Callithrix jacchus: one gene and its partners. The protein of the gene in region 4 purifies or fractionates together with the protein of the main gene of each other region. This does not show direct contact. Links are inferred from orthologs where the notes say so. Each region holds a gene or a part of one and is shown on either strand. Other genes may lie near its edges.

The links.
Region 1: the proteins of KLC2 (region 4) and KIF5C purify together in Homo sapiens (affinity purification with western blotting; 3 studies listed by BioGRID and IntAct, with this or other methods). This does not show direct contact. The link is inferred for Callithrix jacchus from reciprocal best matches to the Homo sapiens genes KLC2 and KIF5C.
Region 2: the proteins of KLC2 (region 4) and KIF5A purify together in Homo sapiens (affinity purification with western blotting; 3 studies listed by BioGRID and IntAct, with this or other methods). This does not show direct contact. The link is inferred for Callithrix jacchus from reciprocal best matches to the Homo sapiens genes KLC2 and KIF5A.
Region 3: the proteins of KLC2 (region 4) and KIF5B fractionate together in Homo sapiens (co-fractionation; 7 studies listed by BioGRID and IntAct, with this or other methods). This does not show direct contact. The link is inferred for Callithrix jacchus from reciprocal best matches to the Homo sapiens genes KLC2 and KIF5B.

What each region holds. Positions count from the first base shown.
Region 1 is NC_133507.1:81,414,281-81,419,651, reverse strand, and holds part of KIF5C (kinesin heavy chain), read left to right. Parts: intron 1-553; coding exon 554-760; intron 761-2,804; coding exon 2,805-2,951; intron 2,952-5,371. UniProt on the Homo sapiens protein: Microtubule-associated force-producing protein that may play a role in organelle transport. Has ATPase activity. Involved in synaptic transmission. Mediates dendritic trafficking of mRNAs.
Region 2 is NC_133510.1:62,114,517-62,119,331, reverse strand, and holds part of KIF5A (kinesin heavy chain), read left to right. Parts: intron 1-395; coding exon 396-612; intron 613-851; coding exon 852-1,005; intron 1,006-1,301; coding exon 1,302-1,384; intron 1,385-1,542; exon of another isoform or gene 1,543-1,665; intron 1,666-2,012; coding exon 2,013-2,040; intron 2,041-2,318; exon of another isoform or gene 2,319-2,368; intron 2,369-2,504; coding exon 2,505-2,583; 3' UTR 2,584-2,619; intron 2,620-3,581; 3' UTR 3,582-4,815. UniProt on the Homo sapiens protein: Microtubule-dependent motor required for slow axonal transport of neurofilament proteins (NFH, NFM and NFL). Can induce formation of neurite-like membrane protrusions in non-neuronal cells in a ZFYVE27-dependent manner.
Region 3 is NC_133508.1:31,751,426-31,756,796, reverse strand, and holds part of KIF5B (kinesin-1 heavy chain), read left to right. Parts: intron 1-1,125; coding exon 1,126-1,186; intron 1,187-1,287; coding exon 1,288-1,359; intron 1,360-1,524; coding exon 1,525-1,629; intron 1,630-2,567; coding exon 2,568-2,784; intron 2,785-3,936; coding exon 3,937-4,067; 3' UTR 4,068-4,087; intron 4,088-5,371. UniProt on the Homo sapiens protein: Microtubule-dependent motor required for normal distribution of mitochondria and lysosomes. Can induce formation of neurite-like membrane protrusions in non-neuronal cells in a ZFYVE27-dependent manner.
Region 4 is NC_133511.1:123,340,199-123,345,569, forward strand, and holds part of KLC2 (kinesin light chain 2), read left to right. Parts: intron 1-1,656; coding exon 1,657-1,887; intron 1,888-2,038; coding exon 2,039-2,108; intron 2,109-2,723; coding exon 2,724-2,946; intron 2,947-3,545; coding exon 3,546-3,633; intron 3,634-3,736; coding exon 3,737-3,838; intron 3,839-3,930; coding exon 3,931-4,104; intron 4,105-4,226; coding exon 4,227-4,326; intron 4,327-5,211; coding exon 5,212-5,261; intron 5,262-5,337; coding exon 5,338-5,371. UniProt on the Homo sapiens protein: Kinesin is a microtubule-associated force-producing protein that plays a role in organelle transport. The light chain functions in coupling of cargo to the heavy chain or in the modulation of its ATPase activity.

The DNA of each region.
Region 1 (5,371 bases), on a different chromosome or scaffold from region 4:
TCGGCTCACTACAACCTCCGCCTCCCGGGTTCAAGCGATTCTCCTGCCTCAGCCTCCCAAGTAGCTGGGATTATAGGTGCCACCACACCCAGTGAATTTTTTTTCTGTATTTTTAGTAGGGATGGGGTTTTGCCATGTTGGCCACTCCTGACCTCAAGTGCTCCACCTGCCTCGGCCTCTCAAAGTGCTGGAATTATAGGCATGAGCCACTGCATCTGGCCCCAATACTTTGTTTAAAGTATGGAATAGCCAACTAACTATAAAATACAGTTTTCTTTGAGTTAAGGCTATACAGCTTTAAACTAACAACAAAAAATAACATATAAAACAAAACACATGTGCACACAAAACAGATTTTGCAATAAGAACATATCTGTCTTTTAATTTATTTATTTTTAAAGTCTGGACCATACTGTGAGATTTTCCATCATCCTGAAGTTTTCCAACTTTTTTTCTTGTATCTTGTTTTTAAATTACTTAATTTTGGATACAGCATAGAATGTAAACATTTGAACACTAGTTTCACAAGTTCCATGCCATCCTATTTCCCTAGCTTTTAGCTTCCACAAGAAGAGACTATGAGAAGATACAAGAGGAGCTGACACGTCTCCAGATTGAAAACGAGGCAGCCAAGGATGAGGTGAAAGAAGTTCTCCAGGCCCTGGAGGAGCTGGCTGTCAATTACGACCAGAAATCACAGGAAGTGGAGGATAAGACCCGGGCCAATGAGCAGCTGACAGACGAGCTGGCCCAGAAAACGGTTGGAGCATTTGTGTCTAGGGGGTGGGACTTCCTTGGCTGCCATTCCTGTACTCATATTGCTATTCATTGACAGACGTGGTATAAGGAGGTGGTGGCTGAATAGTTATTCAGTGTTAGATGTATTCTCTGAGATCCCACCAACAATTGAAATACTTCATGCAAGTGACTTTTGTCCACTCATCTTGAACTGCATATCACGACTGCTTTATATCCAGAGAATTTATAACATTAGTGGGGATGCTCTGTGGGAATAGTGAAAAGAGTGCAGACTTTGGAGCCAGAAAATCTTAGTTACAAGTCTGACTTCATAACTCTTAGACCTTAGCTGCGACAGTAAAGTTTTGTGAGTATTCATTCCCTTATCTGTAAAAATGGCAATGATAACATGCTGCTTGCATGGTGTGAAGATTAGTGACAGTTTATGTAAAACACTCAGCACAGATCTGTGCATGTGCTACAATATCAATACATACATCTCCAAGCATTGCTACTGGCAAGAAATGGGGTCCCACAGAAGGTATGGACTTCACTCTTCTTGCTTATACCCTCCTGAATGAATTCCATTCCTTTCTGTGGGCTTCCTGTCCTGGCTGTTATTTTCAGGAGCCTGGAATTAAGCTGCCCTTGTTTGTTTGTTTGCTATTCTGTTTTAAGCCAGTGTTTCAGCCTGCACATTCCCTTATTTCCAGATTCTTCTAATGAAAGATGCCGTAGGTTCTACAGTGAGCTAGCAGTAGCAGGGCCAGTGAGTGTTTGGCATGATGGGATGGGATGTGTCCTTTTCTACCTGGAAAATGAGTGGTAGAGAAGCTGAGTGACTCTAACCTGCTTTCCTTAGCACTTCTGTGCAATGGCCTGGTGTCCTGGGCTTGTGCCCAGCCTGCTTTGTGGAAAGCATCCAGTTTAAAAAGAAGTGGCAGATGGCACAGGAGAGTGCTGATCTGCCGACTGTGAGGCTGACAGGAAGTTCTCCTCACGGCATGCAGGAAGAAGACTTTTCTAGCAGCTTCCTAAGATGGGGACTACTGCCTCTGTGGGTTTTAAAAACAAGATGACATAAGCAGTTGGCAATGCCAAACAAAATAAAACAAACTCATTCAGATGTCACTTAGGAAAGGGGAGACTTAGATTTCCTCTGCTTAGTGTTTTCTATGGGATTCTTTTAATTCATCCTTAATATTATTTCCTTCTTAAAACAATGAAACATTTTTCATAATACAGTTCTTACTTGCCATGAAACCAAAGTATTACTAGATTGGTTTAGAAGATGATTATTAGATTGTTTAAGAATGCCCTGGCTACATATGGGAGAATTGTATAAGCAGATAACTGTTTTACTGATGGTGAGCATTAGTTAAGAATACATACCTTTTGTCAAGATACAGGAAGGATGAAAAAGAGATGGGTTTATTAAAGTTTGACAAGAAAATAGAGCTTCTGCTATATAGTAAGAAACCAACTATTGAACTTAACCTAATTTTGAAAAAAGATGAAGAGTGTTTAATTCAGCTTCACTCTGAAAATTAGACTTTTGTGAAGTTTTCTAAACTTGTTGATGTTCCTCTAGGCCATCTGTTTTAGATCCACCTGTCTTTGTCAATTTAGGTGGAAATATGGAGGTTGCCAGGGAGCAGGTTTGTTTAGGAGTGGAGGTGGGGACACTTGCAGGTGAGTTTAGACCATGAAATGAAACAGGGAGGTCTGAAATAGAACATCTGGTAAGTAGGAGGATGCAATTACGTTATAAACTTAAGATTTCTTTTTTGGCTTTACTTATTTTTAATAACTTATTTCCCTGACTTGGAAATTGTCATCTGATATGTAGACATATAACATCAGGCCATGTGATATAACTTGTGAATATAGAGTTCCTCTTCTTATCTAAGAATGCAGGGCTATGCAACCATTTGCCTTAAAATGATTCTTAGGTTGAAGTCATGTAAAAGAAATCCATTCTACATGATGGTGTTATTCTTTGTAATGTGGAGTGTATGAAATTGATGGACAACTCTTTGAATTTGTTGTTGAAATTTGTTTTTCAGACTACATTGACAACCACGCAGAGAGAGCTGAGCCAGCTACAAGAGCTTAGCAACCACCAGAAGAAAAGGGCAACTGAGATCCTGAATTTGCTGTTGAAAGATTTGGGGGAGATAGGTGGAATTATTGGCACCAATGATGTGAAAACCGTAAGCCAGCCCTTTTATCCTCTCTGCCTGTTCTTATCAAGTTAGCGGGGTCTATGCTTTATTCTTTTAAGCATCAATACTTAGCACTGTGCTTTGCATCTGCCATATGCTTGGTAGTGTTTGTATGAATGAGAAAAGGACTGATTGAATGACTGAGTGAATGGTTGTTGGAGTGAGGAGGAAAAACAAATTTACCTTTGAAATCTAGGCAGTGTCTTCAAATCTTGGTTGTCTTTGTGTAAACTGGTTTATTCCTCAAACTTATTTTGTTGCAGAAGTTTGGAATTAAATAGCTTAAGCAACAGTTCAAATCTCAGAATTGTGTTTTTCCATTTCTAAAAGAGCCCAGTGGAGTGAAAATTCTCCAACAAGTCAGTGTGAAAGTAATAGGATTCTATGGCTTAAGAAATAAAACCACATTTAATTATCACGATATCAGAAGCCTAAAATCTCGCTATTCAGGGTGTGATCTGCCTCAACAGGAAGCTTATTGGAACTACAGCCTCTCAGGCCCCACCGCAGACCTATTGAATCAAAATCTGTACTTTAACAAGATCCTCCAGGTGATTCTTTATGTTTATTAAAGTTTGAGAAGTAAATTTTGGTTTGGTGCCATGACTCAATAATGTCAAATTCCCAGCCTGTTTCCTTTTCATATCCAGAGGATTGTGCCTCATGGTAGCAAGATAGCTGCTGTAGTACAAATCATCACATCCTCACTCAACGACATTCAAGGCAGGATGGGCTGAAAAGGCCAACTGCTTTCATCTAGGAGGGAAACATATCCCAGATGTCCCCAGGAGACATTTCCTTACACTTCATTGGCCAGGATTGGATCACATGACCACTCCACGTTTCTGGGAAAGCAAAGGGGAATAGGATTACTATAATTGGCATAAACCAATTGTGATGGATCCCCTCGTGTTGTATGCATTGGTGCTCTTGGTTTTTTTGTTTGTTTTTTGAGACAGAGTTTTGCTCTGTCACCCAGAGACTGGAGTGCAGTGGTGCAATCTCGGCTCACTGCAATCTCTGCCTCCCATATTCTAGTGATTCTTGTGCCTCAGTCTCCCGAGAAGCTGGAATTACAGGCATGTGCCACCATGTTCTGCTAATTTTTGTATTTTTCTTTTAATTTTTTAGTAGAGATGGGATTTCTCCATGTTGGCCAGGCTGATCTCAAATTCCTGGCCTCAAGTGATTTGCCCACCTTGGCCTCCCAAAGTGCTGGGAATACAGGCATGAGCCACTGTGCCTGGTCATTGGTGCTCTTGATGGCTAGAAAGTAAGATGTGGGGAGAATAGGGGTGGTATAAAGTTGTCTAGGAGCTAGGAATAGAAGGAAGAGAGATAATTAAAAATGGTGTCAGCCAAGAGCAGTTAACAATTTTCTGGAATATAGAAAGGCCATTGTTGTCATTAACCAAAAAAACAGGGTAGAGACACTTTTAAAACAAAATTTTATTGGGTATAATTTACATAAAGCTGTTCATATTGAAAGTATACAGTCTGAGAAATTTCGACATATGTGTACACTCATGAAACCATCAGCACCGTTAAGATAATGAGTGTCTCCATCTCTGCCAAAAGTATGTGGGGCTCTTTCTGGTCTCTCTATTTTGTTTCGTGGATCAAGTCTTTCTGCCAATACCACAATGTTTTGATTCCCATAGCTTTATAATAATATAGCATCTTACACAGAGGAGTCAGTGATGATATATGTTGATTTTCTTGAGCTGGGGAATGGTAATGACATTGCTTACCTTACATCTCACAATTTGCTGAAACCAAAATCTTTGCATTTAGCCATTTTATCTTTAGAAAGATGAATTCTACATCAGTCTGTTTAGTGGGAACACTGAGGTTGTGAGTTGAGATTGTTAAATACAGAAAAGCTCCCAAGATTAGGCTTCCTTTTGTAGACTATTGCTGGGAAATGATGAAAGCTCTTTTTGGAGGGCGTATCAGGTCTCTACTTAGAGTACATGACTGCCTATTAACCATTCTTTCATGGAACCTGTATGGTAACTGAATATTTCATAAATCCTTGTGAGTGAATCTAATTCTAGCACATACTGTAGAGTTAACCTTATTAAGCTTCAGTTTGGTGATTTTATATTTGGAGATTTAATTTTTGGAACCATACATTTGTGTTGAGCAATAAAATTCTGATGTGAAGTGATTAAATGGCCTCACAATATGAAGGTGGGGTTGATTTATGGGAAGCTGATGCTTGCTGCTGATAATGATAAAGGAAGAATGTATTTTTATGCTAAGTTCTTAAATAGAGCTGATGAAAATGCTAATGAAATCAGGAGTGTCTAGGTGCTTCAGTATTAAAAAAAAAGTCTTTACCTTTGGGAATCTGAAGTATGATTGAGATTGAGATTATTTTTAAATACTCAGTTGGATGTTTTTGA
Region 2 (4,815 bases), on a different chromosome or scaffold from region 4:
TGGTGAAGGGGGTCCCTCATCCCATGGTTGCCCTGGGGCTGTTGGTCTGGCACATGCTGGGAGATGTGGGGGAGGCTAGATGGAGATGGGACATGGTGCTGTCGCAAGAGCTCTGGGCTGCAGTGGAGACAGCAGGTTTTGCTGCCTAGAAAATTATGTAACTTTTTAGTGCCTGACCACCCACCCTTTGCTCCGGGAGAAGGAATGAGCTGGACAGAACAGCCCATTACATAAAGGCAATGAGACCTTTTGAGGAAATGACATGTTCTCCGTCTTCTCTGACCCCTGATTTTTCTTTCTTCTCTCTCCCCACCCCTGTCTCTTGCACTCCTCTGGGTGACTATCTTGGGTCACTCGCCTTCCTTTCCACTTCTTCCCTTTGGCTCACCCCATAGCTGGTACGTGACAATGCAGATCTGCGTTGTGAGCTTCCTAAACTGGAAAAACGACTTAGGGCTACGGCTGAGAGAGTTAAGGCCCTGGAGGGTGCACTGAAGGAAGCCAAGGAGGGTGCCATGAAGGACAAGCGCCGGTACCAGCAGGAGGTGGACCGCATCAAGGAGGCTGTTCGCTACAAGAGCTCGGGCAAGCGGGGCCATTCTGCCCAGATTGGTGAGTGGGTGTTAGCAGGCAAGGTGGGATACCCCCTGAAGCAAATTCAGCAAATTCCTAATTGCCAAGCAACTTGATTATTGCTTCTTATCTACCCCAGCCTCATCCCACTTCCCCCCCAAAAGTAAAAAAGTGATGATGTTACAAGCAACTCAGTTCAACCACAGCTAACTGACCTCAGGGATGGGGCAAATGCAGGGTCAAAGCCTCCTCATGGTTGTTTCCTTTCTTCACTGCAGCCAAACCTGTCCGGCCTGGCCACTACCCAGCGTCCTCACCCACCAACCCCTATGGCACCCGGAGCCCTGAGTGCATCAGTTACACCAACAGCCTCTTCCAGAACTACCAGAATCTCTACCTGCAGGCCACACCCAGCTCCTCCTCAGACATGTAGTGAGTGACCACAAGTGTGGGTGGGAGTCCCACCCAAGGCTCACTGGACCCTAGAAGGTATAGGGCTGGTCAGTTATTGGTTGTGGCTTATTTTCCTAAACCTTGTCTCAACTTCATGCCTATGATTAGAAGGTGGGTGTCTACCCTCCCAGCTTGTGACCATGTTTGTTGTCCTCTGCTCTCCGGGAATGGGGAGGGCTGTGCAGCTCTATCACTGAGGGTGAGTGTGGATTAGTGATCCTCAGACTACTGGAGGGTGGGTGCCAGATGCTGCCTCTTTCCTCTGCTCCCTCCAGCTTTGCTAACTCCTGTACCAGCAGTGGAGCCCCATCTTCTGGTGGCCCCTTGGCTTCCTACCAGAAAGCCAACACGGACAATGGTGAGTGAGAAAGATGGGTAATCCCACCTTTGGGGTCCTCAGAGCAAGTTGAGAGGCATAAAAGAAAGTGACCTTAGTCTATAAGAAATACTAACTGCACCTTTCGTGTGTGCCAAGGCTTCAAATAAAAAAGTACAGTTGGGTGTGGTGGCACGCACCTGTAGTCCCAGCTACTTGGGAGGCTGAGATAGGAAGATTGCTTGAGCTCAGGAGCTCAAGGAGTGCACTGTGATTACATCTGTGAACAGCCTGGGCATGGGCAGCATAGTAAGGCCACAACTCTAAAAGAATAATAATACATATATTTTAAAAAGTGACCCTGTACCAGCAGCTTGAGCATTGCTCAATCCTTTAGGTCTCAAACTGCCGCGGAAGTGGATTCCTCCTATTACCATGCCAGTCCCCACCCTCACCTTCCAGTCCCCCTTTCCTCTCCTTAGTGAGGGCCAGGGAGACTTTTTCTCCAACAAAATAATGATGCAGCTTGGGATAACTAAGGAGAAAGTGTCGCAGCTTATTTTTTTCTCTAAGGAATCAGGATGGGGGAGGGTTTTGGCAAACTGTTTCTAACACCCAGTCTCCTCTTTTTCTTCTTCTAATCGTGTTTTCTCAATGATGATCTCTTCAGGAAATGCCACAGATATCAATGACAATAGGTACAGCAGTCCCTACTACCCCTGAGTTCTCTGGGTGGGGCCAGAAGAAATGATTAAATTTCCCTTGTGCCCCTCTTGGAGGTTCCTGGAGCCTTGGGGGAAGGAGGAAGACAGACTTATTCTTTCCCTCACTGTGTTGTCCAGGAGATGCAGTCAGTCCCCTGCCCCAGTGCAGAGTGTCTCCCCTCCTCCATTCCCATCTGTGGCTTCTCCCTATTCCAGTGAGAAGGTCTGGATGAAAACATCATGGGCATCTGATGACTGGGTTTCTTTCCTACCTTTGGGAGCCTTGTAATATTGGACAAGTCATTTACGTCTGTCTGGCCTTGAGTTTCCCTGTATTCCTGTAAAATACCAATAGTCCCTGCCCTTTGTGATCTCACAGAAACCCTCTTAGAGCAGAGTGACCATGACAGGAATACTTTCATTTCTATGGAGCTGATTGTGTGGGTTTCTTCCTCCAGGAGTGACCTGCCTTGTGGCTATGAAGCTGAGGACCAGGCCAAGCTTTTCCCTCTCCACCAAGAGACAGCAGCCAGCTAATCTCCTACATCCACAGCTGCATACCTGCACTTTCAGGTAGATCAGGCTGCTTCCTCAGACCAGCCTCAGGATGCTTCCCTTCTTGCTGACAGCCTCTTTGGTTCTCCCGCTGCTTCTTTTTTTTTAACCATCTCAAAACATTTTACCCTTCAACTCCCGCTTTCCCCTGCTGGGGCCACGTCTGTGCTGCCCCATGTAACCTGGACACTGACCTTCCCTGGCCGCTTTTGCTTTCCCTTAGGGAATAGCGGTAATTACAGTACTGTCTTTTTGCCACTAGGGGTCACTGTCACATGTCCAAAGAAGCGAGATCGGCCTCTGTAGATTAGAGCCATACAGGGGTGGTAGCGGGCAGATCTATCAGAAGGCCATCCCAACCCCACCTCTACCTCCACCCTGAAATAATTTTGGATGGATAGGTGTTTTTGGAACTAAGACACCTCCGGTAAGGAGATGTTTATGCCTGCACCTGTGTCCCATCCTCCTCCCATGTGTGTATGCCACCAGTAAGCTTTAGGACGTGCCTCACGAAGTCAGTCAGTGCTCCCCTCCCATCTTTTTTAGTGGAGGTGGAAAAGCCCCTCTTTTTCCTCCTCTGTGCCCAGGTGCTCTCCTCTAGCAGCACAGGAACCTTCTTTGTTCTTGTCTATCACCAGGTTTCTCACCAAAGGTGCTTTAGGGCCCAGAAGTGGCACAGCGAGCATGGCCAGTTCTTACTGGGCTGCATCTAAGCTGAAGCCTCTCCAGGGGTTTCCCAGAATAGTAGACCCAGCACACACAGGCAGAAAAGCCTGAGAAGCAGAGAAGGAGGAATGCGGAAGAGGAGTCGGGGAGGCCTGGGGTGGAGGTGAAGGGCTGGGTCGCAGGGGTAGGGGGTCTGCTTGTTGGTATTAAAGGAACAGGATGGTAAACCAACATGTGTGCAGATGCCACCTGTTCCTGTTCCATGGCGGAGCTCCAAGCTGAGCCCTCACACTCTCTTTCTCTTTCTTTCCCAGTTTCTAAGAGGGACTGAGGCCTCTTCTTTCAGCATGCTGCAAACCTGTGGTCTCTGATACTAACTCCCTCCCCATTCCCTGTTGTTGGACTATACTATGTTTGATGTCTTACTTACTCTGTATCTCTTTGTACTCTGTATCTATATATCAAAAGCTGCTGCTATGTCTCTTCTGTCTTACTCTCTAAGTATCTACTGATGTATTTAGCAATTTCAAAGCATAGTCTACCTTCCTTATTTGGGGCAATAGGGAGGAGGGTGAATGTTTCTTCTTTCTTATACTTGTCTCACACTGAGAGGTGTTAGTCACCAAGTAGAGGTCACAGACATGACAAAAGGAAGAACGGGAGTTAGAGGGCTGTGACCCTTCACACACACACACACACACACACACACACACACACACACAAAGCCTTAAGGAGAAGAATGTCCTAGCATCATAAGACAGATAAATAGATTCTTCCTCCCTCCTCTTTCACATATAGCACAGGGGAAGGTGAAATGGAAGGGCTGCTAAATGAGACATATAATTTTCTTCATACATCCCTCACCTTAATCAAAGGATTTGGGTGTTTACCTCTGTCCTACAAAGCCTGCCTTTTGCCTCCCTCTTCCTGTTTTCCCCTGGACTGAGAAATGGGTTGCTCAAGGGAGCATTTCCCTTTTTCTTCACTGCTCCTTTTGATATTCCCTGCCCCAGAGCTCGTGACCAGAACCCAGAGTTGATTTAAAATATCTTGAAAAGTTGAGGAGGCAGACTGCTCCCAGCAGCCTGTTAATGGCGGCTCATCTGTCCATGGTGATGGTTACAGGAAGATGTAGTCAACATGATTGATTCCTTGGGTTTGGGGGTGAATAGGCTGGGAAATTTGAGCCTTTCTTTTTGTCACAATGCAATGAGCTGGATTCCTTTCTCAGACCTGTACTGGACCGTATACTCCTCACATCTCCATCCACCCTTTGGTTTGGGGCTTCCAGCTCATTGGCAAAATCTCTCTAGTTGCCTTCCTTTCAAGCTGGAGCCTGCCCTTTCCTCAACATACATCTTTTTTCTCCACAAAGAGTTCCTTCTCTAATGTCCCCATCTGGTATTAAGTGCACTTTAAAGAAAGGAGCAGGGTGGATTTTCAAGAGGTGGGGAGCTCTAAGGCTTGACCCTGAGGGCTCTCCTCCCAGCTGTTCTCAGCCCACATGCAGCATCCCCCATACTGAAGGGGGCTGTTGTTTTTGTTTCA
Region 3 (5,371 bases), on a different chromosome or scaffold from region 4:
AAAACTTGGAATATACATTTGTATTTTAGTGAAAGCAAGGTCTTATATTTCAGTGGTGGTTAAGATTTAGTTTTCTGTTTATCAGTCTGCTTACTGTTTCCTTATCTCCATATTACTTCAGGACACAGCATAAAAATTAACTGAAAACAAGATATTAAGTAACTTAAAAGATTTTAAGATCTATCACAAAAACTAAGTTTTTGTTAAGTTTTTCTCTTACATAAAAGAGCATTGTGGTTTTAGCCTTGCCGTTTTGAACAGAGGTTTCCATGGTTTACTTTTTCTCATTTTCTGAAAACTCAGTTTTCTAGAGTCTTCAAGTAGAAAATTCATGATTATAATTTTTCACATACCTTGAGTTTGTGAGATAATTTGCAAATGAACTGCTATTAGGATAGTTAGAACATCAGGACAAGTTCATAGTGGATTTTATAAAGATTCTGCTAACTTGCAGCTGTAATTGTGTTTAGAATAATTTTAATGTAAAATATTTTAGTCTTTGATAGTTTATAATCTCTGTAATTAGTTAATCGTCACTTTGGATAAATAAGAGTATAATAATATGGCATATTTGAAAATACAAATTAGAACCATTCCTTATTCTTCGAATTCGGCCACATTTTATTTCATCTCTTTTGTTGGTGTATATGGAATTTATAACAATAAACTGTTGTTTTAGAAGGCATAGGAAATTTCTTCAAAATGGCCAGGTGCAGTGGCTCACACCCATAATAGCACTTTGGTAGGCCAAGGCAGGAGAATCACTTGAGCCTAGAGTTTGAGAATCAGCCTAGGCAGCATAGGGAGACCCCGTCTCTACAAAAAACTCTTTAGACAGGCCTGGTTGTACATGCCTGTAGTCCCAGCTACTTGGGAAACTGAAGCAGGGAGGATCATTTGAGCCTAGGTGGTCAAAGGCTGCAGTGAGCAGTGTTCAGGACAGAAACGCTGTTTCAAAAAAAAAAATTGAAATACAACATGGATAAATTGTTTAAAGCAAGCATCTTGTATTTATTTAAATTTAATAATTGATCCTTTCAGATACAAAATATTCAACTCTCATGCAAAGTACAACTAGAATTTTATGGAATAAAATTTGAAAATTTATGTTTGTTCTTCTGTTAGGATTATACAAGATAGACGAGAACAAGCAAAACAAGACTTGAAGGGTTTGGAAGAGACAGTGGTAAGAAAAGGACTGGGGAATATTTTGTGGGGTTTTTTCTACCATGATTATTCTGAATTTAAAGTCTGAACTCCAAAAATATTGCTGTTTCTTAATCCAAGGCAAAAGAACTTCAGACTTTACATAACCTGCGCAAGCTCTTTGTTCAGGACCTGGCTACCAGAGTTAAAAAGGTAATATAACTATGCCGAGGTGGGTGTTTGTGTAATGGTGCTTACTTCTAGGTAATTCTTTTATTCAAAGTGAAATAACTTTATAGTTATGTCAGTTTTTGTACAATTAAGCTTAGATTTTTTTTATTTTTTTATTTTTTCGTAATACTTACCTTCTTTTCTCAGAGTGCTGAGATTGATTCTGATGACACTGGAGGCAGCGCTGCTCAGAAGCAAAAAATCTCCTTTCTTGAAAATAATCTTGAACAGCTCACTAAAGTGCACAAACAGGTACTAAAGAGTTTATTTTCTGGTAGCTGAAAGGGTAGTAACAAATCAAAAATTGATTATTGGCAAGTATTTCAGTCTTTCAGAATTTCTATACTCTGAGCCATTTTATCAGAAATTATGTAAAGAAACCACAAGTAACTTTTAGAGGAGTTAATTTTAACAACCTTATTATCAAAAGAGATAGTGAAAATATGTATTCTTATTTTCTCTTTAGGATTTTAAGACTGCATTTTCATAATTTATTGTAATTTTGAAATCTCTACTACATAGACTTTGCAGTTAAAATACAGTCTTCTGGGGAGAGTGGTCTTTTTATACCTAATACACCACCCAGTGTGTCAAATATAATGAAGGAGTTTGTCATGTTTTTAAAAAGTAATGCTTACTTTGGAGGTTTTTTTGGTTCTTTGCTTATTTTTTGTTGGGACTTGATAAATGATTTAAGTTACTAATTTCAAAAAGTTTCTCTACACTTAATTGTTGTGTATCTTTGTTACTGTAAACCTGATGTTTGCACCAGAGTATGGTTAAAGATATTTTAGCTTTTCTTGTCTTCAGCACTTATTAAGGGTCTTGCTAAGTTTATGTTTCTTATGTGCTTAATATATCTAAAGAGATTTTCATTTCAGCAGATTACTTGTCTTACTGAAGAAACATAGCACTGTCTTGTAATTTATTGTCTTTGCCTAGTAGAGGGAAATAACAGTCCCCCCCCTCAAAAAAAATTAGAGGAAATTATACCTTTGTGAATAAATAGATGTGTATATGATATGTACAGATGGATGTATTCTCTGCATGTTTCTGCCTAAATTAGATAAATGGGAAACAACATAAGATGCAGTTTTACTTCTTTTCTAAAGAGCAATTATGAAATACTTGTACTTTTAAAAATCATTTTGTTAAATCTAGAATCCTTGTTTTCTTTGTGAACCCCTTAGTTGGTACGTGATAATGCAGATCTCCGCTGCGAACTTCCTAAGTTGGAAAAGCGACTTCGAGCTACAGCTGAAAGAGTGAAAGCTTTGGAATCAGCGTTGAAAGAAGCCAAAGAAAATGCATCTCGTGATCGCAAACGCTATCAGCAAGAAGTAGATCGCATAAAGGAAGCAGTCAGGTCAAAGAATATGGCCAGAAGAGGGCATTCTGCACAGATTGGTTAGTAGAACACATTAAAACCTTTAAACCTTGCTCAGTTTGAATGCTTTTAGTTGAAAACATAATCTGAATTTTATAACGTGTTTTCATGGTGCATCTGTCTTTATTTTCTAACTTAGCAAAGAGTGGCACATGGTGGGAAAGAGGAATAACCACATTAGCAGGACATGAAGATAAATGAGAACTAGAGAAGCAAGCAAGAATTGTCATGGAATGGAGAAACTATATAGAGCAATATTACTAAAGCCAAGAGAATTGCAAGAAAAGCCATCAGCAATGATTTCATGTTTAAGAATGATCATTGGTGGCTGGGCACAATGGCTCACGCCTGTAATCCCAGCACCTTGGGAGGCCGAGGTGGTTGGATCACCTGAGGTCAGGAGTTTGAGACCAACCTGACTAACATGGTGAAACCGCCTCTCTACTAAATACAGAAAATTAGCTGGGCATGGTGGTTAACAGCTGTAATCCCAGCTACTTGGGAGGCCGGGGCAGGAAAATCCTTTGAAGCTGGGAGGTGGAGGTTGCAGTGAGTCAAGATTGCGCCATTGCACTCCAGCCTGGGTGACAAGAGAGAGACTCCATCTCAAATAATAATAATAACCATCATTGGTGCAGGAAGTTTTTTGTTTTTTATTTGTTTCTGTATATTTATTTAAATGACACAGGGTCTTACACTGTCACCTGTGCTGGACTGCAGTGGTACAATTATGGCTCTCTGCAGCCCTAACCTCCCAGGCCCATGCAATCCTCCCACCTCAGCCTCCCAAGTAGCCAGGACTACCTACAGGAGCATACCACCACATCTGGCTGATTTTTGTATTTTCTGTAGAGACTGGGTCTTGCCTTACTGCTCTCTTTGGTCTTGAAATCCTGGACTCAAGTGATCCACCCACCTCAGCCTCTTGAAGTGCCGGCATTACACAGGCCTGAGCCACTGCACCTGGCCAGGAAGAAGATTTTTAAAGGCTAAGAATTGTACAGGTCCTAGAAAAAAGAATGGAACAGAAAAGAAAAAGTGATAGAGAAACAAAAAGGCAAAGAAAAACTAATCATTTGGAAATTTGTCGAGAATAAGAGAAGATACCTTAATAGTCATTGCTGTCACATCTTAAGCTTTATTCTAAAGCCAGTCTTTATTTTTCATATTAGCTAAACCTATTCGTCCCGGGCAACATCCAGCAGCTTCTCCAACTCATCCAAGTGCAATTCGTGGAGGAGGTGCGTTTGTTCAGAACAGCCAGCCAGTGGCAGTTCGAGGTGGAGGAGGCAAACAAGTGTAAACATTTATACATACCCACAGGTTTGTAATTTATACCTGGCTTTTCATAGCTATATATGGAAAATTGGTTGTTAAATGGTTTTGGGGGTTTTAAAAATTCTCATATTAGTGCTATAATTTTTTTAAACTTAAGCAATTATAAAAGTTATTTAGCTTGATCTTTTTTTATAGTTTAGATCATACTGTATTCAAATTTGTGATCTTAATTGTTTTGAAATCTAGCATTGGACCATTTGTAATAAATAGCTCTTAATGTTCTGTCTAATGGATGTACCATGGTTTATAAACATCCCTTTTTGCTAGATATGTAATTATATTAATTTGTTCCATAATTGAAATTTACAGAAACCACAATTTTTATGTACGAAATATGAAACATCGTTTTTTTTTTTGAGATGGAGTGTCACTCTTGTCACCCAGCCTGGAGTGCAATGGCGTGAGATCGGCTCACTGCAACCTCCGCCTCCTGGGTTCAAGCAATTCTCCTGCCTCAGTCTCCTGAGTAGCTGGGATTACAGGTGCCCATCACCACACCCGGCTAGATTTTTGTATTTTTAGTAGAGACGGGGTTTTACCATGTTGGCCAGGCTGGTGTCAAGCACCTGACTTCATGTGATCTGCCCGCTCAGCCTCCCAAAGTGCTGGGATTACAGGCATGAGCCATTGGGCCTGGTCTAAAACATCTTTTTGTACTCCCTAACCTGTTAGAGATTATTTCCAGAAGCTTCCCAGAAATGGAATTACAAGGAAATGTGAACATTTTTAAGGCTCTTTGTTCATATTTACACATTGGTTTCTAGAAAGACGGCACTGAATTGCATATGAGCCCAGGTTACTAACAGATTTCTGAGCTTTATTAATTTATAATTATGTACTGCATAAAACAATCACTAATTAGAAAAAATCCAGAGATACTACTATATATATATTTCTTTCTAGAGCTTTCTGTACCAGCTTTTAAATTTAAAAGTTTAAACTGTTGATAACTCTACATATTCTGCTACATATGCTGCTTTGTAGCCTGCTTTTTAAACTTAGCAATATATTCTGAACACTTTCTTGTACAACATGATTGTTAGGTTAGTAGTTGCCTAATAATTCATCATATCGCAGGAACTATGATTGTAACTCTTCAGGAAGTCCCTGATGTGTATGAGCATTGGAAATAAAAAATACTAGATAACTATGAAATGATTAACTGTTTCTGACAAATACTAGAGCTAGTTTTTTTTAATGTTCCTTGTTTTTACATGGACATTTTGCATACTACTGGCTCTAAATTTGAGTAGAGAACTAAATATTCTG
Region 4 (5,371 bases):
ATTCCCAGGTTTGTGGTTTAAGCAAATTAAGGGAGGAGAGGGCCTGGGTGGATCAGAACTCTGTTTTGGCCCCCTTTAACTGAGGCTGCCAGGGTGACAGGCAGATGGAGATGTCCAGGAGCCACTGGGATGGATGTACAAGGAGTTAGACTTGTTTTATTCCCCTCAGAGCTTGGCTGAGCCCCTGCCTGGCGTGTGAATCCTGGGGAGGTTGTATCATCTTGGTTTCCTTGTCTTTAAAATAGGGATCATGCCATCTGCTGTGTACACTTCCAGGCTGTTGGGGGAATTATTTTTTTAAAGCTAGTGGTTATGGAAACACCTGTCACTTGGGCATTTGCTAACCAACTAGAAAGTGCAGGGTCCCAGACAGCCTGGCCCTCTGCAAGGACATTCACTCCTCTGCCACTTGGCTGTCAGAGGCGGAGAGGACCACTCAGGGGCTCCACATCTGGTGGAGCATATGCACTCTCACAGAGGGCATGGGCATCAAGGCCATGTGTGAAGCCGGAGCAGAGTGGGAGGTGTGACTAGCTGGAGGCACCACTGCAGAAATGACCCTGGACCATGAAGGACCAGGAAAGGGTGAAGGCCCAGAGTAAGGCCAGGTGTGGTGGCTCACGCCTGTAATCCCAGCCCTTTGGGAGGCCCAGGTGGGAGGATTGCTTAAATCCAGGAGTTCTAGATCAGCCTGGGCAACATCATAAGACCCCATGTCTACAAAAAAAAATTTTTTTTTTTTTTTTTTTTTGAGAAGAGTCTCACTCTGTCGCCCAGGCTGGAGTGCAGTGGTGCGATCTCAGCTCACTGCAACCTCCGCCTTCCAGGTTCAAGCGATTCTCCTGCCTCAGCCTCCTAAATAGCCAGGACTAAGGCTTGTGGTGGTGTGCACTCGTAGTCCCAGCTACTCAGGCGGGAAGGACCACTTGAACCTGGAAGGTAGAGGCTGCAGTGAGCTGTGATGGTGCCATAGCCCTTCGGCCTGCGTGACAGAGTGAGACCTTATCTCAAATTAAAAAAGAGAGAGAGAGAGAGAGAGAGAAGGCAGGGTGGAACCTAGGCAGGAAGAGACTAGAAACTCAGGAAAGGAGTTATAGAGGCTGGGGAGAGGGGTGGAGTTTGAGGCCAAGGCTTTTCCTGTCCCTGTGGCTCCTCATGCCAGCTGAGCATTTGGGACACATGCCCCTTCCCTACCTGGGAGCTGCAGAAAGGCAGGGGATGCTGTGGCCCCTTGGCAGAAGTGGGGACAGAGTCTTTGGGTGGCCTTTCAGCCATCTAGCAGAGTTCAGCGGGCAAGTGCTAGCCCTGGGGCAGGGAGCAGTAACCTAGTGGCTGTGGCAGCAGGAGCTTGAGTACAACCCAGGGAGAGATGAAGAGGCTAGGAGCTCAAGGAAAGCACAGCACCCCAACTAGGACTTTTCTGGGGTTCTCCTGATCCCAGAAGGAAGGAATTGGGGACTCCCAAGCCTCCTGGGTTTGGGCCTTGGACTATAGTGTGTTTGGGGCCTTGAGGAGATTCTTCCTTGAGGAGGAGAGAACCCCAAGGTCTGCAGCTTCTCACTGTAGGGTCAGGCCTGGTTCTTCACGAGGCACAGGTTAGAGTCATAAGCGAGGGGATCAGCAGGGCTCCGACCCTTACCTGGGCTGTTTGCACAGGTGATCTTGGCACTGTCGAGCCACCTGGGGGCCGTAGAATCAGAGAAGCAGAAGCTGCGGGCGCAGGTACGGCGCCTGGTGCAGGAGAACCAGTGGCTGCGTGAGGAGCTGGCGGGCACACAGCAGAAGCTGCAGCGCAGTGAGCAAGCTGTGGCCCAGCTCGAGGAGGAGAAGCAGCACCTGCTGTTCATGAGCCAGATCCGCAAGTTGGACGAAGACGCCTCCCCTAATGTGAGCCCCTACCATGGTCACTGTTGCCCAGCAAGGGGGCTTGGGAGCAGGAAGGGGGCAGCATGGAGCAGATTTGGCTCCAACCCAGCCCATGGTCACCTTGGCCGCCCTGTGCTTCCTTCCCTGACGCTCATCCTGTCTTCCTCCCCAGGAGGAGAAGGGGGACGTCCCCAAAGACACTCTGGATGACCTGTTCCCCAATGAGGATGAGCAGAGCACAGGTGCGGATGGGCAGTTCTGGAGTGAGGGAAGGAAAGGTTGTGTGAACTCACAGTCCTTGGGACCGAGTGGCTGCCATGTTCCTTCCTGCCTTACTTCTGCTCATGACATCCTAGTGTTAGAGCTTCAAGAACAGTTGTATGTGCTGCTGCTTCTCACATCCCCCAGTTCTAGGGAGCAGACATCACAGTTAAGAGCTATGGAGTTGCCAGCCTGGCTTCCAGTGCTGCTCTGCCACTAGCTCCTCAGACCCCTGGGAGAGTTATCTTCCTCTCTGTGCCACCTCTGTGGGAGGCACTTGCAGAGCCACACCAGGGCCAGTGCCTGCCTTGCTCAGGTATTGGGCGAGCGTTGGGGCTTCCACTCTGTACACAGGGACACAGGCTCAGAGGTTAGGTGACTTACTGCAGGATACTGAGCCTGACGTACTGGAGCTGGGCCTCTACCCCCTCTTTCTATGGGGTAACTAGACCCACTCTACAAATGGGGAAACTGAGAAAGAGTGCTTAGTGACTTGCCCAGGGCCAGGTGTCAAGTGGCTCAAAGGCACTGCTGGCATGTGCCAGCCCAGCCCAGCGGGCAGATGGTACATCTGACCTCCTGCCCTTGGCCTGCAGCCCCTAGCCCAGGAGGAGGGGATGTGTCTGCTCAGCATGGGGGATACGAGATTCCGGCCCGGCTCCGTACCCTGCACAACCTGGTGATCCAGTATGCCTCACAGGGCCGCTACGAGGTAGCTGTGCCACTCTGCAAGCAGGCACTGGAGGACCTGGAGAAGACCTCAGGCCACGACCATCCTGACGTTGCCACCATGCTGAACATCCTGGCACTGGTCTATCGGTGAGGGCTCCCTCGGGGTGCCCAAATTCTTCTGGAAGGCTCTAGCCCTGGATCACCAACCCTTGGTGCCTGTGTGGGCCAGGACTTGGGCCCCGTCTGCGTGCAGCTGGGCTGCACTAGTAAAACTGCCTAGTGTAGGAGAGAGGCTTGGCCAGAACCTCGGAGGGACTGCACATGAGGACTGCAAGGGTCCTGGGGAGTCCGCATGGCTTCTCCAGGTACCAAGGCTGGAGGAGGAGCTTTGGCAGAAAGTGAGTTTGCCCAACATAAGAGGGATGGAAAAGGTTCCCATGGAAAAAAGCCAGCATGAGCAAAGTCACTGGGACCTGGAGAGCAGGACACGCTAGAGGGGCAGCAGGAGAGCCATGTGGCACCCAGGACACTAGCCACCAGGCAGTCAGTGGGACCCCAGCACTACACACCCCAGTTAATTGTGAGAAAACTGCCCACAGCCCCCAGAGCTCAGAGGGCAGGAGCCAAGCAGGTCTCCCCACACTGTCACTCCTCAGTGAGTACAGGAGTGACCACAGGGATTGAAGGCCACTGGGGAGGGCCTTAAGCTGGAGGACAGCCATGACCATGCTCCTGCCTGCTTCCAGGGACCAGAACAAGTACAAGGAGGCTGCCCACCTGCTCAATGACGCTCTGGCCATCCGGGAGAAGACACTGGGCAAGGACCACCCGGCTGTGAGTGAGGATTGGGTGGGAGGTGGGGGCTGTGCCCCATCCTCTGTAGGTCCCAGAGTCCTGCAGGGCCTGGGTCAAGGAGCTTCCATTCTCCCACCCCTAGGTGGCTGCAACACTAAACAACCTGGCGGTCCTGTATGGCAAGCGGGGCAAGTACAAGGAGGCTGAGCCACTGTGCAAGCGGGCGCTGGAGATCCGGGAGAAGGTGGGAGTAGGCAGGACTGGGCAGGCTGGGGGTCTGGGAGGCAGGGGCCCAGGCAGCCCTGAGCCCAGCCCTGGCTCCCTCTCCCATCCCAGGTCCTGGGCAAGTTTCACCCAGACGTGGCTAAGCAGCTCAGCAATCTGGCCCTGCTATGCCAGAACCAGGGTAAAGCCGAGGAGGTAGAATACTACTACCGGCGGGCACTGGAGATCTATGCTACACGCCTTGGGCCTGATGACCCCAACGTGGCTAAGACCAAGAACAACCTGGTGCCTTGGGGTTGGGAGGGGCTGGAGGATAGGAAGGAGGGAGGGAGGGATGAGGTTGGGGAAGGAGGAGAGAATGGCTTGGCTCCATCCATCCGCTCACTCTCTGGGTCCCCTGCTTCCAGGCTTCCTGCTACCTGAAGCAGGGCAAGTACCAGGATGCAGAGACCTTGTACAAGGAGATCCTCACCCGCGCTCACGAGAAAGAGTTTGGCTCTGTCAATGGTGAGTGCATGGTTGCCATGTGCCTCTGGCCCATTCATCCCAGGCCCGCTCTGCCATCAGCACCCAGGACAAATCCTTCAGCCAGCAGTTCCTCTGGTTGGTCCTGGCTGGTCCCCAGCCTCACCCTCTGCTGGTGCCCAGCTACCTGTGTTCACATTTGCACATGTGAACACACACCCGACTCAGGCAGCCCCCTTGGCCTGCCAGTGCCTCACACACTTTTGGATCCCTTTTCTCCACTGGTGACTCCTGCTAACCTTGAGGGCCTGGCCCCAGCGTCTCCCGCTCTGGGAAACCACCTCTGGCCCTGGATGGCTTGTCATCTCCTGCTCCTGAGTCCCTTGGAGCCTGGCCTGTCATTCAGGCCTATCACATGTCTTGGGCTGTGGCCTGAGGTGTGTAAGGGTCTGTTCTGCTCATCTCTTTGTCCATTAGAGGGTCAGTAGTGTTTTGGGTCTCATTCTTGTTCCTTCATTCAACAAAGCTCAGGCCGGGCGCGGTGGCTCACGCCTGTAATCCCAGCACTTTGGGAGGCCTACGCGGGTGGATCACGAGGTCAAGAGATCGAGACCATCCTGGTCAACATGGTGAAACCCCGTCTCTACTAAAAATACAAAAAATTAGCTGGGCATGGTGGCGCGTGCCTGTAATCCCAGCTACTCAGGAGGCTGAGGCAGGAGAACTGCCTGAACCCAGGAGGCAGAGGTTGCGGTGAGCCGAGATCGTGCCATTGCACTCCAGCCTGGGTAACAAGAGCGAAACTCTGTCTCAAAAAAAAAAAAAAAGCTCAACCCTGGTCCTCCCTCCCCAGACTCCATCCTGTGTCCAGCCCAACCAGGTGAGGCCTATGTGGTAGGCTGGTGACGGTCCCCTTTCTCTCCCCAGGGGACAACAAGCCCATCTGGATGCATGCAGAGGAGCGGGAGGAGAGCAAGGTAGCTCTGTGGGGCAGGGCTGGGCAGGGATGTGCAAACGGGGCCTGGGCTCTCACTTCATGTGACCTTCCTCCAGGATAAGCGCCGGGACAGCGCCCCCTATGGGGAAT